Macaca mulatta: one gene and its partners. The protein of the gene in region 2 interacts with the protein of the main gene of each other region in a pairwise test. Links are inferred from orthologs where the notes say so. Each region holds a gene or a part of one and is shown on either strand. Other genes may lie near its edges.

Evidence for each region.
Region 1: the proteins of NCK2 (region 2) and BCL11A interact in binary tests that used the Homo sapiens proteins (3 or more experiments, as listed by UniProt). The two-hybrid records come from large-scale screens. The link is inferred for Macaca mulatta from reciprocal best matches to the Homo sapiens genes NCK2 and BCL11A.
Region 3: the proteins of NCK2 (region 2) and RASSF7 interact in binary tests that used the Homo sapiens proteins (3 or more experiments, as listed by UniProt). The two-hybrid records come from large-scale screens. The link is inferred for Macaca mulatta from reciprocal best matches to the Homo sapiens genes NCK2 and RASSF7.

What each region holds. Positions count from the first base shown.
Region 1 is NC_133418.1:64,330,130-64,335,688, forward strand, and holds part of BCL11A (BCL11 transcription factor A), read left to right. Parts: intron 1-1,288; coding exon 1,289-3,309; 3' UTR 3,310-3,311; intron 3,312-5,559. UniProt on the Homo sapiens protein: Transcription factor. Associated with the BAF SWI/SNF chromatin remodeling complex. Binds to the 5'-TGACCA-3' sequence motif in regulatory regions of target genes, including a distal promoter of the HBG1 hemoglobin subunit gamma-1 gene.
Region 2 is NC_133418.1:13,978,416-13,983,974, reverse strand, and holds part of NCK2 (cytoplasmic protein NCK2), read right to left. Parts: intron 4,270-5,559; coding exon 3,548-4,269; intron 1-3,547. UniProt on the Homo sapiens protein: Adapter protein which associates with tyrosine-phosphorylated growth factor receptors or their cellular substrates. Maintains low levels of EIF2S1 phosphorylation by promoting its dephosphorylation by PP1.
Region 3 is NC_133419.1:446,694-452,352, reverse strand, and holds the start of RASSF7 (ras association domain-containing protein 7), read right to left. Parts: upstream 3,165-5,659; coding exon 2,738-3,164; intron 1,731-2,737; coding exon 1,631-1,730; intron 1,160-1,630; exon of another isoform or gene 669-1,159; intron 384-668; coding exon 253-383; intron 1-252. Other genes in the region: LMNTD2 (lamin tail domain-containing protein 2), read left to right, coding at 3,170-3,357, 3,430-3,606, 3,950-4,313, 4,569-4,637, 4,722-4,810, 5,112-5,374, 5,622-5,659. UniProt on the Homo sapiens protein: Negatively regulates stress-induced JNK activation and apoptosis by promoting MAP2K7 phosphorylation and inhibiting its ability to activate JNK.

The DNA of each region.
Region 1 (5,559 bases), about 50 Mb from region 2:
ACTGTTGGTTAGTTATTCCATATATATATATATTTAATTTAGCTATCTCCCCATATATATTTAATTTAGCCATCTCCCCAAATGAAAGATTTTGTGAAGTCAAGCTGGCCCTTCTTTGCCAAAGTGGCATTTACCACTCTTGGGTTCTTTTCGGCAAGGGAAATAATGTGACTTAAGCAGGGCCCCTCTCCAGACGGCTTGGCTACTGGCCAGAGTTGACTAGCTGAACTGTATCTTTCTGTTTCTTTCTCAACTGGAGCTGAGTCTCAGCCGAGGGCGCAGGATGTTGTATAATTTGGTTCACGTTGTTAGCCTCTCAAAATAATGAGGAGGAGGATAGTGTAGCATTTCTCAGCCTGCTGCCTGTCATGGTGCTGGCTGCTTTAACTGTTCCTTAAACTAGGATGCTGTGTCTGCTTAAGTCGGCACCAGCCACTCCTCCTAACTTTTCCAGACTTGCATTTGTCTGACTGGGGGACAACTCCTAAAGATTGGATACAGCCTATCCATTAGATCTGAATGAAGTTTTTCTTTCAGATTTTTAAACATTCTTTGAGATAAAAATGGGCGTTCCCATGGGGTGTTGTGGAACCAAAATTGGGACTCACTGATCCTCCCACAGTCTGGGATGTGAGAATGTTGCTAGTCTTTTTTCCATGGAAGTATTTTATGAGTACCCTCTCATTTTAACAATATCAACAATTAGTGTGTTTCAGACTAAGACTGAAAGCATCTCTAGGGCCATATAACATTGTAGTGAGTTGACCTTCTCCCCTTTTTTTGAATCTCTATGAAATGTTTGCCTATTTAGAAAGTTCACCTGCCACCCAGGGGGGAATAGAAAGCTGGGATTTAGGAAGCCAAAAAGTTTCCTTGGGTCACCTTGTCCAAGTTTCTCACTTAACAAAGAGGAAACAGAGGCACATGGAGATGAGATGGCTTGCCCCAAATTACAGCTGATGGGACTGGAAAGTTTAGAAGACATTTGTTTAGGTGCCTAGAATGTAGGGACCTTCATTCTCAAGCCAGAACTGGCCAGGATTTTTCTGCTTTGGGGACTGGATATCAAATTCCTAGAACTGAGTTTAATGGCAGGAAGACTGATTGGACCAATATTTACTGGGTACCCATGCTCAGACGTGCCAGGCACAGGAGTAGGTCAGTGAGGGTTTAGGGCTTGGGGTTGAGGGGTGGGGGCAGGGAAGGCTGGAGGTGGAACATAAATAAGCAATTGCTGATGCCCGCCTCAGTGATTAAACATTGATGTTGGTGTTGTATTATTTTGCAGGTAAAGATGAGCCCAGCAGCTACACATGTACAACTTGCAAACAGCCATTCACCAGTGCATGGTTTCTCTTGCAACACGCACAGAACACTCATGGATTAAGAATCTACTTAGAAAGCGAACACGGAAGTCCCCTGACCCCGCGGGTTGGTATCCCTTCAGGACTAGGTGCAGAATGTCCTTCCCAGCCACCTCTCCATGGGATTCATATTGCAGACAATAACCCCTTTAACCTGCTAAGAATACCAGGATCAGTATCGAGAGAGGCTTCCGGCCTGGCAGAAGGGCGCTTTCCACCCACTCCCCCCCTGTTTAGTCCACCACCGAGACATCACTTGGACCCCCACCGCATAGAGCGCCTGGGGGCGGAAGAGATGGCCCTGGCCACCCATCACCCGAGTGCCTTTGACAGGGTGCTGCGGTTGAATCCAATGGCTATGGAGCCTCCCGCCATGGATTTCTCTAGGAGACTTAGAGAGCTGGCAGGGAACACGTCTAGCCCACCGCTGTCCCCAGGCCGGCCCAGCCCTATGCAAAGGTTACTGCAACCATTCCAGCCAGGTAGCAAGCCGCCCTTCCTGGCGACGCCCCCCCTCCCTCCTCTGCAATCCGCCCCTCCTCCCTCCCAGCCCCCGGTCAAGTCCAAGTCATGCGAGTTCTGCGGCAAGACGTTCAAATTTCAGAGCAACCTGGTGGTGCACCGGCGCAGCCACACGGGCGAGAAGCCCTACAAGTGCAACCTGTGCGACCACGCGTGCACCCAGGCCAGCAAGCTGAAGCGTCACATGAAGACGCACATGCACAAATCATCCCCCATGACGGTCAAGTCCGACGACGGTCTCTCTACCGCCAGCTCCCCGGAACCCGGCACCAGCGACCTGGTGGGCAGCGCCAGCAGCGCGCTCAAGTCCGTGGTGGCCAAGTTCAAGAGCGAGAACGACCCCAACCTGATCCCGGAGAACGGGGATGAGGAGGAAGAGGAGGACGACGAGGAAGAGGAAGAAGAGGAGGAAGAGGAGGAGGAGGAGCTGACGGAGAGCGAGAGGGTGGACTACGGCTTCGGGCTGAGCCTGGAGGCGGCGCGCCACCACGAGAACAGCTCGCGGGGCGCGGTGGTGGGCGTGGGCGACGAGAGCCGCGCCCTGCCCGACGTCATGCAGGGCATGGTGCTCAGCTCCATGCAGCACTTCAGCGAGGCCTTCCACCAGGTCCTGGGCGAGAAGCATAAGCGCGGCCACCTGGCCGAGGCCGAGGGCCACAGGGACACTTGCGACGAAGACTCGGTGGCCGGCGAGTCGGACCGCATAGACGATGGCACTGTTAACGGCCGTGGCTGCTCCCCGGGCGAGTCGGCCTCGGGGGGCCTGTCCAAAAAGCTGCTGCTGGGCAGCCCCAGCTCGCTGAGCCCCTTCTCTAAGCGCATCAAGCTCGAGAAGGAGTTCGATCTGCCCCCGGCAGCGATGCCCAACACGGAGAACGTGTACTCGCAGTGGCTCGCCGGCTACGCGGCCTCCAGGCAGCTCAAAGATCCCTTCCTTAGCTTCGGAGACTCCAGACAATCGCCTTTTGCCTCCTCGTCGGAGCACTCCTCGGAGAACGGGAGCTTGCGCTTCTCCACACCGCCCGGGGAGCTGGACGGAGGGATCTCGGGGCGCAGCGGCACGGGAAGTGGAGGGAGCACGCCCCATATTAGTGGTCCGGGCCCGGGCAGGCCCAGCTCAAAAGAGGGCAGACGCAGCGACACTTGTGAGTACTGTGGGAAAGTCTTCAAGAACTGTAGCAATCTCACTGTCCACAGGAGAAGCCACACGGGCGAAAGGCCTTATAAATGCGAGCTGTGCAACTATGCCTGTGCCCAGAGTAGCAAGCTCACCAGGCACATGAAAACGCATGGCCAGGTGGGGAAGGACGTTTACAAATGTGAAATTTGTAAGATGCCTTTTAGCGTGTACAGTACCCTGGAGAAACACATGAAAAAATGGCACAGTGATCGAGTGTTGAATAATGATATAAAAACTGAATAGAGGTATATTAATACCCCTCCCTCACTCCCACCTGACACCCCCTTTTTCACCACTCCCCTTCCCCATCGCCCTCCAGCCCCACTCCCTGTAGGATTTTTTTCTAGTCCCATGTGATTTAAACAAACAAACAAACAAACAGAAGTAATGAAGCTAAGAATATGAGAGTGCTTGTCACCAGCACACCTGTTTTTTTTTTTCTTTTTCTTTTTCTTTTTTCTTTTTCCTTTTTTTTTTTTTCCTTTATGTTCTCACCGTTTGAATGCATGATCTGTATGGGGCAATACTATTGCATTTTACGCAAACTTTGAGCCTTTCTCTTGTGCAATAATTTACATGTTGTGTATGTTTTTTTTTAAACTTAGACAGCATGTATGGTATGTTATGGCTATTTTAAATTGTCCCTAATTCGTTGCTGAGCAAACATGTTGCTGTTTCCAGTTCCGTTCTGAGAGAAAAAGAGAGAGAGAGAAAAAGACCATGCTGCATACATTCTGTAATACATATCATGTACAGTTTTATTTTATAACGTGAGGAGGAAAAACAGTCTTTGGATTAACCCTCTATAGACAGAATAGATAGCACGGAAAAAAAATCTCTATGAGCTAAATGTCTGTCTCTAAAGGGTTAAATGTATCAATTGGAGAGGAAGAAGAAAAGGCCTTGAATTGACAAACTAACAGAAAAACAGAACAAGTTTATTCTATCATTTGGTTTTAAAATATGAGTGCCTTGGATCTATTAAAACCACATTGATGGTTCTTTCTACTTGTTATAAACTTGTAGCTTAATTCAGCATTGGGTGAGGTAATAAACCTTAGGAACTAGCATATAATTCTATATTGTATTTCTCACAACAATGGCTACCTAAAAATATGACCCATTATGTCCTAGTTAATCATCATTTTTCCTTTAGTTTAATTTTATAAACAAAACTGATTATACCAGTATAAAAGCTACTTTGCTCCTGGTGAGAGCTTAAAAGAAATGGGCTGTTTTGCCCAAAGTTTTATTTTTTTTAAACAGTGATTAAATTGAATGTGTAATGTGCAAAAGCCCTGGAACGCAATTAAATACACTAGTAAGGAGTTCATTTTATGAAGATATTTGCTTTAATAATGTCTCTTTAAAAATTCTGGCACCAAAAGAAATAGATCCAGATCTACTTGGTTGTCAAGTGGACAATCAAATGATAAACTTTAAGACCTTGGATACCATATTGAAAGGAAGAGGCTGACAATAAGGTTTGACAGAGGGGAACAGAAGAAAATAATATGATTTATTAGCACAACGTGGTACTATTTGCCATTTAAAACTAGAACAGGTATATAAGCTAATATTGATACAATGATGATTAACTATGAATTCTTAAGACTTGCGTTTAAATGTGACATTCTTAAAAAAAGAAGAGAAAGAATTTTAAGAGTAGCAGTATATATGTCTGTGCTCCCTAAAAGTTGTACTTCATTTCTTTTCCATACACTGTGTGCTATTTGTGTTAACATGGAAGAGGATTCATTGTTTTTGTTTTTATTTTTTTAATTTTTTCTTTTTTATTAAGCTAGCATCTGCCCCAGTTGGTGTTCAAATAGCACTTGACTCTGCCTGTGATATCTGTATCTTTTCTCTAATCAGAGATACAGAGGTTGAGTATAAAATAAACCTGCTCAGATAGGACAATTAAGTGCACTGTACAATTTTCCCAGTTTACAGGTCTATACTTAAGGGAAAAGTTGCAAGAATGCTGAAAAAAAAATTGAACACAATCTCATTGAGGAGCATTTTTAAAAAACTAAAAAAAAAAAAAACTTTGCCAGCCATTTACTTGACTATTGAGCTTACTTACTTGGACGCAACATTGCAAGCGCTGTGAATGGAAACAGAATACACTTAACATAGAAATGAATGATTGCTTTCGCTTCTACAGTGCAAGGATTTTTTTGTACAAAACTTTTTTAAATATAAATGTTAAGAAAAAATTTTTTAAAAAAACACTTCATTATGTTTAGGGGGGAACTGCATTTTAGGGTTCCATTGTCTTGGTGGTGTTACAAGACTTGTTATCCATTTAAAAATGGTAGTGGAAATTCTATGCCTTGGATACACACCGCTCTTCAGGTTGTAAAAAAAAAAAACATACATTGGGGAAAGGTTTAAGATTATATAGTACTTAAATATAGGAAAATGCACACTCATGTTGATTCCTATGCTAAAATACATTTATGGTCTTTTTTCTGTATTTCTAGAATGGTA
Region 2 (5,559 bases):
AGTACACAGTTTGAGAATCATTATTTAGAGAAATGGAATGATGAAATTGCCTGCAAATAAGAGTTTTGGGTAGAAGTTATAATTTCTATAAGAAATATTATAACTTTGAAAATACAGAAAGGAACTATTCTAATTAATTTCCTGGCCAAACTCTTTTAATGTATTTTTAAAAAGAGAAATGAAACATCCATTGACTTTTAGTATGGCCAATATGTGCATTAAATTATCCTTAGCAGGAGAGTTTTTCTCTATTGGAAACAAATGTATTGTATGACAATATTAGTATCTAATATTATTGCAGGACACAATAAATACATGACCTCTTCGGTATCTAAAATCTTACAGAGGAAAATGGCTTCCCAGACTTGTGGCTGATGCTGTCCAGCAAGTCACCCAGGCCAGCTGTGCACCTTTTCCAACCATATCCTAGTTGTGATCTGTCACTTTCTGAACAACTTTTACAAGGATGGGGGATGCAGCAATTAATAAAATACTGACAACTTGTACAGTTTACCAGAAACCCAGTAAAGGGTTACTGTTCATTTTAAGTACAGCTTTCTAGCCACATCCATAGCATCAATGTGGACAAAATATAAAAGGATTTATGAGGGACACACACAGGGTGAGTAGGATTTCTGAGTTTTCTGGATTTAAGCAGGTATAGCTCACAGCTGAAGGTATGATAATGAAATATGGAGAATAAGCACCAACAATATATCACCTTTAGCTGCTAAGGATAAACGACAATTGTAGATGAGAGAGGAGAGCGAGGGAGGAAGAAGAAAGGGAAGAACAAGCAGTAGGCACTGACGTTCAGGACAGGAAAGAGGGCCCAACAGGTTCGTTCATTTGTTAGTTCACTGATTCATCTAACATATCCAACAGATACTTCTGAAATACCCAGCACTTACTGATAGTGGATAGTGCAGGATGTGGCAATGTTTGTCCTCCCTGAAATAAGCACCTCTCAATATCATCAAGCAAGGGTCTAGCTCATTTACACTGCAGTCACTCAGGGTATTTTAAAAACTGATACGCATGTTGAAGATCCATTCCAAAAGAAACAGCTGTGCTTATCCAGAAGCCAGGCTTCATGTGGTAACCTCAATGAAAGGTCCAGGCCCAAAGATTCCAAGAAAAAAGGAAATTAAATGAAGATGCCTGCCTCTGAGTCCTGCAGGGAGGCTGAACCCCTCAGAAACCTTTCCATCCTGGCATGCTGTGAAGGAATTATGTCAGAACATGAACCTAAGGGCTCTTGGTGGCCTGGTGGTGGCTGTGAAAGCCAGCTCTAACCTGAGAAATGGCAAAATGAGCAGGGAAACACATGGGGATGGGGGGAGGCAGCGGATGGTGGGGAAAAAAAAACAAGCAAAGGACTTGTCCACTTGTCCACCAGGACAGGTCCCCGGCAGTCACAGATGACAGCTGAGAACAGCCTTGGTCATGAACAGGAAACGCAGCAAACCTGGCCCGGTTCTGCGGTCAGGAGAAAAGAAGCCACACACCTCAGGGCTCTTGTAGAATCCCCGTGGCACAAGGCATGCACACTAAGCGCTGAAAATGGCCTGTGTCACGGCAAGATCCATCAGGACAAGCTGCCCTGCACAGCATCAGGCCACGTGGAGCCTCAGACCAAGACGGTGCTGCTATGTGTGCAGAGCCGATGCAAGTGCCAGTAAAGCCCTTTCCACCCTATATTCCTGGAATCATACATGTTGCTCCTTGACTTTCTAAGTTAGGAGAGAATGCAAAACATCTTGAAAGGCCCCCAATTAAAAAATTGTTAAAAGGAAATACAAACAATTAGTGCTTTAGTACTTTTGAAAAAGTTAGCTCATTCTCTAACAATGCAAGGCAACTGAGACAGTGGGGTGTAGAGTTCTGAGATGAAACCCAGCCAATGCATGCATCCCTCCTTATCCAAAGGGATCTGGTCCCTGAATTCAGACAACAATGACCACCTGTGCATGTTCCACAGAAAAGCCATAGGTCCTCCCTAAGGCCAGCAACCCTGGAGAACACCTTTTTCATCTACTCTCTAAAGTCTTTCTTCATCTCCCCAAATCTTAGGCAGAAAGAAGAACGACTGGGAGCAATGTCTCCACACTGCAGGACTTCCTTCTGAGAAGTCTCTTCAAACTCAAACATTTTAAGCCAAGATCATATTTTGTGCATTATACTTAGCCCTTAAGGACTCTGGACCAAGCACTTAATATTGTAATTGGTTTTCCAGCACTTTCTCTAAGTTTCTGCTCGATTGAGTTAAAAGCGCTGCTGTCCTTAATTTGCTTAAGGCTTCAAACCCGATCTAAAGGAAATGGTGCACAGAGCTCTCGTCATGTGAGAACAATTCAATGTGATGTCTTGCCAGGAATGATAAACTCTGGTGACTTGATAAGAAAATCTCAGAGTTCAGATTTCAGATGAAGTTAGCTTTCAGGCTGGCATTCCCGTCCAAGCACATCTAAGGCTCCGCAAAACTGATGACACCACAAAGGAGTCCAGTTTCCACCACCACGATGCTCCTTCCTCAAAGAGGAGAAGATCCCACTTGCCTCTCTCTGGAGGGCTTTGAATGCCTCTCTGATCAGTCAACAGGACTCCTGAATGTGCACTTATTTATTGTGCCAGTAACCTTTTCAGAGGACAGCAGGGGCAGCAGGTAGTACATACTTACTAGTCTTACAGTGTGCATTTAAAAATGAAATTGAAGCCTACTAGAACCAATACAATTCAAATACATCAAACTCCTAAATGCTTGTTTTGGAAGTCTCTCGATTGTAGAAGGTGTATTTGTAAAGACGTTTGCAAAACTGGTCGAATATTTCCTTCACACACGAAAAGGCTGCCTTCTGGGATGCAGGCTCCACCCCCACGTCTGAAACTCACTGCCCCCAGCCTGCCCACCCCTGGAAGTGGGTCTGCTGCCCCAGTCCAGTGGCTTCATATCTCCCACTCACTGCACACACACAAAACTCATCTCTCTCAAGAACCCTTGTTTTCTTTTCAATTCATCTCGTAAGTGCTTTAAAAGCTTTTCAGAGATGAACTCAGTGGCGCTGCCTGCCGTGGCAATGACCTTGGGATTATACGGTTTACAAAGAGAAAGCAAGCAAACAACAAAAGGCGGTGTCAGAAACCGGCCACCAGTCTTGCAAAGATTGCTTTCTCTGGGAAACAGACCGAGTGGAAACAAAGTAAATCACTCGGGCCTTCTACGTACACACAATGGGCAACCAGGAGAGAAAATGACGTTTGAGTCTGTAAAATACAAGAGGGGGAATCTTCGGAGAGAAGCAGAACCACCTTTGTCAGCTACAAACATTTTTTCAGTTAACCTCCCACCTCCAGAAATGGACACCCACGATCCCCAAAACAGATGCAAGGAAATCACGGAGTAGCAAACATTACACTAAATTGCATTCATCTGCATCTCCCGCCTTTCTAGTGTACTCACACAATGTGAAATGGGCGCGGCACACAGAGCCACTGTGCAAGGCGCATTTACTGCCTCCAGCCAGAGCTGCGGGCGCAGCGCACTTACCGAGGACTCGCTGTCCCTAATGAGGAAGTCGCCCTCCACGCCCCGCTCGTTGAGGGCACACTCGGCCTGGTGCCGCGTCACGTTCCCGTAGTACCACTCTCTGCCCGCGAAGCGCCCGCTGGACGAGGGCCCGGTGTAGCTTATCTGTGGGGCGTGCGCAGGGTGCAGGGCAGGCCCGTCACTGAGGACCACCACGTAGTTTTTGGGGACGAGGCCCACCTGGCCCCGGGCATTTTTGCATTTCCACCACTCGGGGTCGTTCTCGGGCTTCTCGATCACCTCCATGGTCTCCCCCTTCTCGAAGTTGAGCTCCTCCTCGGTGACTGAGCTGAAGGGGTACAGCGTCTGGACCACGTGCAGCACGCGGGAGCCCTGGCCATTGCTCAGCGAGGCGCCCTTGCGCAGGCTCAGGAAGCTCGGGGACTCCGCAGCTGCCTCGTCCACCTCCTCCAGGACGTAGTTGGAGGGGAACCAGCCGATCTGCCCGTTGTAGCTGCCCCGCCACCAACCGTCGCTGCACTTCTCCATGACGGTGACACGCGACCCCTTCACCAGGGACAGCTCATCCTCCCGCTCGGCAACATAGGCGAACTTGACAAAGGCCGGGATGTTGAGGTCGTAGATGCGGTCGGCGCTGCTGCCATTGGCGGGGTACTCAGCATCCGTGCTGGGCGTGGGGGACGCGTCCCGCGCGCTGGTCTTCCTGCGCGTCTTGCCAAGGCCTGTGGAGACACAGCAAGGCTCAGTGGCGCGGGGCACTTGGGCACCAACCCACTCCCTAGTCTACTGGGATTTCCACGCAGTTTCTCTGGCGGTTAAATACAAGGGGACACATGGACAGTGCTTACAAACTGTAATTACCATCAGAAAAATAAGGTTGCTGGCAGCTGCCTCCTGTAGTTGTGAAGTTACTTAAAGTTGAGAACTACTTAAACTGATCTATTTTACCCATAAAAACGTCACAGGGCCAGCACGGTGGCTCACGCCTGGAATCCCAGGCTTTGAGAGGCCCAGGCGGGAGGATTGCTTGAGGCCAGGAGTCTGAGACCAGCCTAGGCAACATAGCAAGACCCTGTGTCTGCAAAAAATTAAAAAAAAAAAAAAAAATTAGCCACCTGTGGTGCACATCTATGGGCCCAGCTACTGGAGAGGCTGAGGTGGGAGGATGGCTTGAGCCAGAGTTCCAGACTGCAGGGAGCCGTGATCGCTCCACTGCACTCTAGCCTGTACAACAGAGTGAGGTCCTGTCTCTAAAATCAAACAAAACCAAAAAATGCGGAAGTACCACTGACACAAAAGATAACGAGAAGAGTAGAAGGTTTCCTTCTGAAATAACCGTTTTTAGAGCATCCCTGTGCCTCTGAAAAAAATAAAGTATAAATGCAGACAAAATACCTTTTTCATTCCTTGAATGGGTGGGAAGTCAGACTAAATGAATTCAAAGACCCGTTAGAACTCTTAAGACCGTCCAGTCTTAGGGAGCACAGCTTGCATAACCTGCCCTGCCCCCAGCTGCCTTGCCACTGCCTCCTCCACTCCTGGGACACTCACTGCCCTCACCCCTCACCCCTGGACAGCACGACAGCCCTAATGGGCAAAACCCATCATCTTCACCTTTCTTCTCGTCTTACAATTCTTCTCTTCTTTCAAAACAGCAGACTAATTTCCCACAACAGATTGTGATGAGTGCATTAGGAAAACTTAGCTGATACCTTAAATTGAAGACACAATTTTTCATACTGTGATTCAAAGCCCACTAGTGGATCATAAAAACCACTTTAATGGGTTGCAACCAGCCTACAGGTATGTGTTGAATTTAAGGGAATAAAGTAGAAAATTTCAGTGCATCGAACACAATTACAGTAAGTACTGTTTCTTCAGTCACATATGTGAGTATTGAATCAGAATGGGAAACATTTCTTCCTATGCGTGATGAAAAATGCTAGAAAAGCCCTAAGGTAAAAATGTTTTAACTGTGTTAAAATGCATGGAATTCTGGAACATTCTACGAG
Region 3 (5,659 bases), on a different chromosome or scaffold from region 2:
GGGAGAGGAGAAGATCAGCCTATGTCCCCCCAACTCTCTGTCCACCTGGCTTAAGGAATTGGGGAGGACCAAAAGGATCAGCAACCAGTCCCACTCTCCTCCGGGGGGTGCCACGGGGCTGGACCACTCTCCTCCGGGGGGGGGGGTGGCCACGGGGCTGGACCACTCTCCTTCTGGGGGACCATGGGGCCGGACCACCAGGTCCCACTTCAGCTCTACCTGCCCAGCCTGCCTAACCCCAAGAGGACTCACCTATTGCTTGGGCCAGTGCGATGACCACTTCCTGGCAGGTGGTCTGCTCCGAGACCCCACAGACCACACGCTGGATGCCATCCACCCACACCTTCAGCTCCATGGCCGCCAGCCCCAACAACATCCCTGTTCTGTGGGGAGGGTGCAGGCCACAGGGTCAGGACCTACCTACCCCTATCAAAGCCTGGTCCTCCTCTCTTCCTTCTCCTGGACTGCCCTAGAAACGGCTGGGCTGCGACCCCTCAGCATGGGCCCAACCCTCCTGTGCCAGCCCCACCCGCCGGCCACACATTCCTAGGGTGGCGGCCCTCCGGAGCACGCATCCTCCCCCACTTCACCAGCCTACTCTTGCCACGCCCGCACTCCCGGAACAAGGAGAATCATTAACCAGATCCAGGATTTCCTGCCCGCCTCACCTGGCTCGGAGGGCACTGCCCCCTCCCCGGGCGGCGCGGAGGCGCCCGCACGCCAGGCCCCGCGGCCGCCGCCATGGGAACGCCCCACCCGGACCTGCTCAGGCCGCAGAGGCGCTCGGGGTCGCGACCAAGACCTCGACCCTGCAGATCGGGCGTACTCGGGGTCTGAACAGCCCCAGCCACCGCGGGGAGCCCCGCCGCTGCCGCCCAATCGCTGCACTCGCCCCGAAGGTCCCGGTCCCCGCGGCAGGCAGGGATGCCCGCGCCGCGACCCCAGCCTGGCGGGAGCCAGGGCGTCCCCGCTCCGCAGGGAGGGCGCAGGTGCGGCACCGCCCCCGCCCTCCGTCCCGGCATCGCGGAAAACTCTCCCCAGTTGGAGTCGGCGCCCTGCCGGCTAGAGGAGCGCCCCGCACTCGAGAGGCCCCGGGACCCCGCGCGGCTCACCTGGGCGCTCGCCAGCCTCTGTACCCGCTCAGGCGCCGCCGCAACCTGCCGCCCCCAGCGCCGCGGCGCGCCCCGGACCCGCGCCCCCATTGGCCCGCGGCCCGCACGCCCCGCCCCCAGCGCCTCTATTGGCTGCTCAGCGCGGGTGTTCCGCCCCCTCCCCCGCGCCCATTGGCTGTCTCTGTCACGCCCCTCCCCGATCCATTGGCCTGCCGCAGCGCCCCGCCCCCAGAGACTCCAGGTATGGGCGGGTCGGAGGGACGGGCCGAGCCGCGGTCCCCGCCCCCACCTCCACCCGGCTAACAACGCGGAAACGCGGCGGCTGCTACCCGCGGGCTGCGCGTCGAGACAGGTGTCCGACCCTGCTCCTGGGCCGACTTCGTCAGCAGCCTTCTAGTGTGTGGCGGGTTCCCGCCCAGGGAGGGTCTCTGGCCTGGGATCCCGCAACCCCCGCCTGCGTTGAGGGGCAGAGGGGCCAGCCCCTCCCCTCGCTTCCCGGGCCAGCCTTTGGAGCCTACCGCAGCGGCAGTAGCCTGGACGCGCAGGGGTCGCGGGGTCGCAGGATCACCAGTCGCGGCAAGGGAGGTAGAACTCTGCGGAGCTGGCGGGCGCCGAGCCCTGGTGCGGAAGGTGCCCGCTCAGGGGAAGGCCCGGACTCTGGCTGAGGCTCTTCTCCTACACCTTCCTGCCGCTTTTGGACCCAGTGCCAGGCCTTACGCACAGTGAAGCTGGCTGGAAGCCGCTCCTCCACCCCCTACCCTACTGTCCCGCCCAGGGCCCCGCAGCCTCGCGGTCATTGATTGCCATTGTGGAGCATTGATTGCCAGTTCCGCCCAGCTCAGAACGAGTTATGGGCGTGGAGGGGTCTCCTGCCCGGCTGTCTCCTGTGCTCCGCTAGGGAGCCCTTACATAGTCGAAAGTTGCAGAGGTGAAGAGTGAATGAGTGAGGGCGAGGTGGAGGGTGAAGGCTGGAATGCTCGGGTCTTGTGGGTCAGGTCTGGGACCTCGTTTTTGTCCTGGAGCAGAGGGAATACGTGCCATGGTAATGAGAATGCCCACAGGGTCCCCTGAGGGTAGCCCAGAGTGTGTGGAGATGGCTGGGAAAGGTGAGGCTTCAGTTTGGGGGTTCAGGTAGGTGAGGGCCTGTCACTGAGGTCAAAGGAGCTGTGGGCTGGGCCTGGTGGTGGAGGCAGGTGCCTGTAGTCTCAGCAATTCAAGAGATGGAAGTGGGAAGATCACTTAAGCCCAGGAATTCGAGGTTACCGTGAGCTGTGATCACACCAAGGCACCTCAGCCTGGGCACCAGAGCAAGACCCTGTCTCTAAAAAATTAATTATTAATTTAAAAAGAGGCTGTGGGCAGGGGCATACTATTCCCAGTTAGCGTTCAGCACAGTCCCCAGCTTGTCACTGTTACCTGTCTGCTTCCCCCACACACCCATGGCTATGCTGGGCTGGCCCACAGGCAGCAGTGCCCCCATATTTATCCCGCAGGTGCTGCCAGGCTAGGTAGGGGATGCTGGGGCCTCCCTCAGGGTGCTGGCCACTAAGTGGTCCCCCCGCTAAGCTGAGCAGTGGCTCAGCCTCTCACACCTCCAAGCTGGGCTGGCCCAGCCCAGAACTCACCCAGGGGCCTGGTCTGGGGTCTCCCTGGAGGCTCCTGGTAACAAACAGCCCCTCCCTTTCTGGGTGCTGGTGTCCATGGCAACGGTATAGAACCCTTCCCCTCCAGGCCTGCTTGGAGGTCTGGCCTCAGGTGAGTGCTGGGGGTAGAGCCCTGAACTGGGGGTACAAGAGAGAGAAAGAGGGACACCACATCACAGGCAAAGGGCCAGCACCTGGGTGGCAGGGGGACATACCAGGGACATGTCAGGTGGTGACCTGCTGCCCCATCCTGGTCAGAAACACACGGGTGTGGACATCCACATGTGAGTCTCTTCAGAGAGCGACGCTCTGTGAGCAGTGGTGCCGCCTGGGCTGCTCCAACCTGTGTGGCCACATGAGGCACACATAGCCAGCTTGGGACCCCCACCCCTCCGCTCCTGAAGAACATTGAGAATGGCCCCCAAGTCTGGCCAGGGGGTTGAAGAAGCCGAGGAAGAGGCTCTCCTGTCCCCCACAGAGCGAGAGTCTGTCAGTGGTCACCTGGGACCTCCAGCAGGCGCACCTGCAGCCCCCGAGACCCCCACATGCCTGCCAGACACCACGCCCCACCCCACACGGGCGGCCTGCTCTGCTGACCTGCAGTAAGGAGGGGAGGGAGGAGTGGTGAGCCTCCTGGGCCAGGTGGCCAGGGGCCCAGCCTGAGTAAGCAGCAGGGGCTGCTGTTGCTGCTGCTGCAGGTTGGCTCTTGAGTCCCTGGACCCTCGCACACTGCGGCTGCTGTGGAAGCAGCGAGAACTGGAGATCCAGGCCTTGCGGTGGGCCGTCCAGAATGGCAAGGACACCCGGCTCTGCCACATCCTGGAGGAAGTGGCAGGGATTTCACCCAAGAGGTCTGCAGCACAGTCCCCAACCAACCCAACCCTGCCCTGTCCTCGCCCAGACTCCTGGTTTCTGTCTGACCCCAATCCCAACCACTGAGTCAGATCCTTACCCTCATCCTCACCCACGCTGACCCTCCACCCTGATCCTAAGTTAACACGCTATAGCCTCAACCCTAACCCTGCACATGTGGATGGGTGCTAGACCCCTGCCCAGACCAGCCAGAGGCTGGCCGGCCCCAGTGGGGCTGTACTGTGTGCCCTTGGGGCCGAGGTGGCAGTGGAGCCCCTGACCTGACATTAGGAACCCCCTGCCTGAGCGGGGTGAGGGCTGCTGAGGTCGCCCCTCCTCCAGGAGCTCCCACAGTCAGGAGAAGTTCCTGCAGAACCAGGTCCAGAAGCTGACCCTGGAGTTGAAGGAACAGAAAGAGCGAGCCCAGTGGGTGAGGCGGGGGGCACAGGGAGTGGGCAGGGTCCTGGTGTTGGGGAGCCAGGCTGCGGCTGGCCTGGGGGCCTTCTGCAGAAGACCCCCCCACCACCACCCACGGGCCCTCCCGGAGCAGGAGAAGGAGCACCTGGAGGAGCGGCTGTTGCAGACCACCCGCACGCTGCAGGAGGTGGAGGCCGAGCTACAGAACTTGCAGAAGTCCTGCCTCCTGCAGCTGGCCCGCTCCTCGTGGGTGGGCCGCATGCTACGATCCCAGACTGGCAGTGTGGAGGTGAGCCCGTCCCCCAAGCCCTCCTGCCCCAGGCTGCCCTCCCCAGCCCTCCCCCTTTCATCGGGTGCCTCTGCTGGGGTGCCCTGGCCTGCCTGGAAGCCTGCCCTGCTCAGGCTGCCTCTGGAACTCTGGGCTCCAGCAGGGAGGAATCAGGAGGCCTCAAAGCACAGGTGAGGTCAAAGAGAAGAGGTGCTGTAGGGGAGGGGTACCCTTCACCCCAGCCCCTGCCCACTGGCCTCTGGTCCCCTCTTGCAGGTGGTGACGGCAGAGACTCTGATGGACCCAAGTGACCTCTCTGAAAACATTCAGGCCCCCACTGGGGAGGTGAGCTGGGCCTCCCACGTGTGTGGTCTGGGACCTGGAGCCCTGCGGGAGGGGAGGACCACGTGCCTGTTGCTTCCTGGCCAGGGCTTTCGGCTGGAGGACGTGGACTGGAACAGCATTGCCCACCGGTACCCCAACCTCTTCATCAGCCTGGAGCCCAACTCAAAGCAAAAGTAACTGCACAGAGCAGGGACTCCCCAGGGGCCAGAAGGGAGGGCTCACCTTGGCAGGTGAAGACCCAGAACACTAAAGGACCCCTTAGTGTCCCTGGATAAGTCCCTTCAACCTTCCAGTGCTCAGTTCTCTGACCTGTAGGATGCGTTAGGGTTGAGGGACCGTCACTGTCCTGCCATGATCTGGGCCTGGGTCCTGGGAGGCAAGAGGGGCTCCCTGCTGCACTGTCTTGTGGGGCTGGATGGGGGCAGGGCTGGGGTCTGGAGCTGGACTGGCCATCGAGCAGAGTGTGGTCCACAGGCAGCCCCGGCCCTGGCCACAGCTGGACACAGGGAGCTCAGAGTCCTCTGGAAAGCACTCTGAGCGGCATCACAAGACCGTGGAGTGGGGCTGCCTGCCCTGTCTGAACACCAGCAGCTCAGGGGGCGTTGACTCCGACTCCAGCAGCTGCCGGCCGGGCCTGCCTTCCCTCGTGCAGGTGGTAGGGCACCCACCCCGGGACCACCGCGCTTCCTCCAAGCAGGCGCTGGTGCAGGCCAGGAGCTCCAGCAGGGACCTGGAAGGTGCAGTGGGGCAGGTCTCCCCCGGTACCCTTCAGCCATCCTTTGCCCCCTCAGAGCTGTGATATCACCCAGAGCCCTAAAGGAGGTCCTCCAGCCCCCAAGGTCCAACCACCTTTCCTGCCCCATCTGACCCTGGCCCTGCTCCCCGCGCCCCCAGGTGCTGCAGGCCTGTTCTGGCCTCACAGGGAACTTCCCTGTGAGGCACTCCATTCCAGGGTCCCCTCCCCAAAAGCGCTGCTCTCTCTAGATCTGCAGAAAATCCACTCACCCAGGCACGGCGGGCCA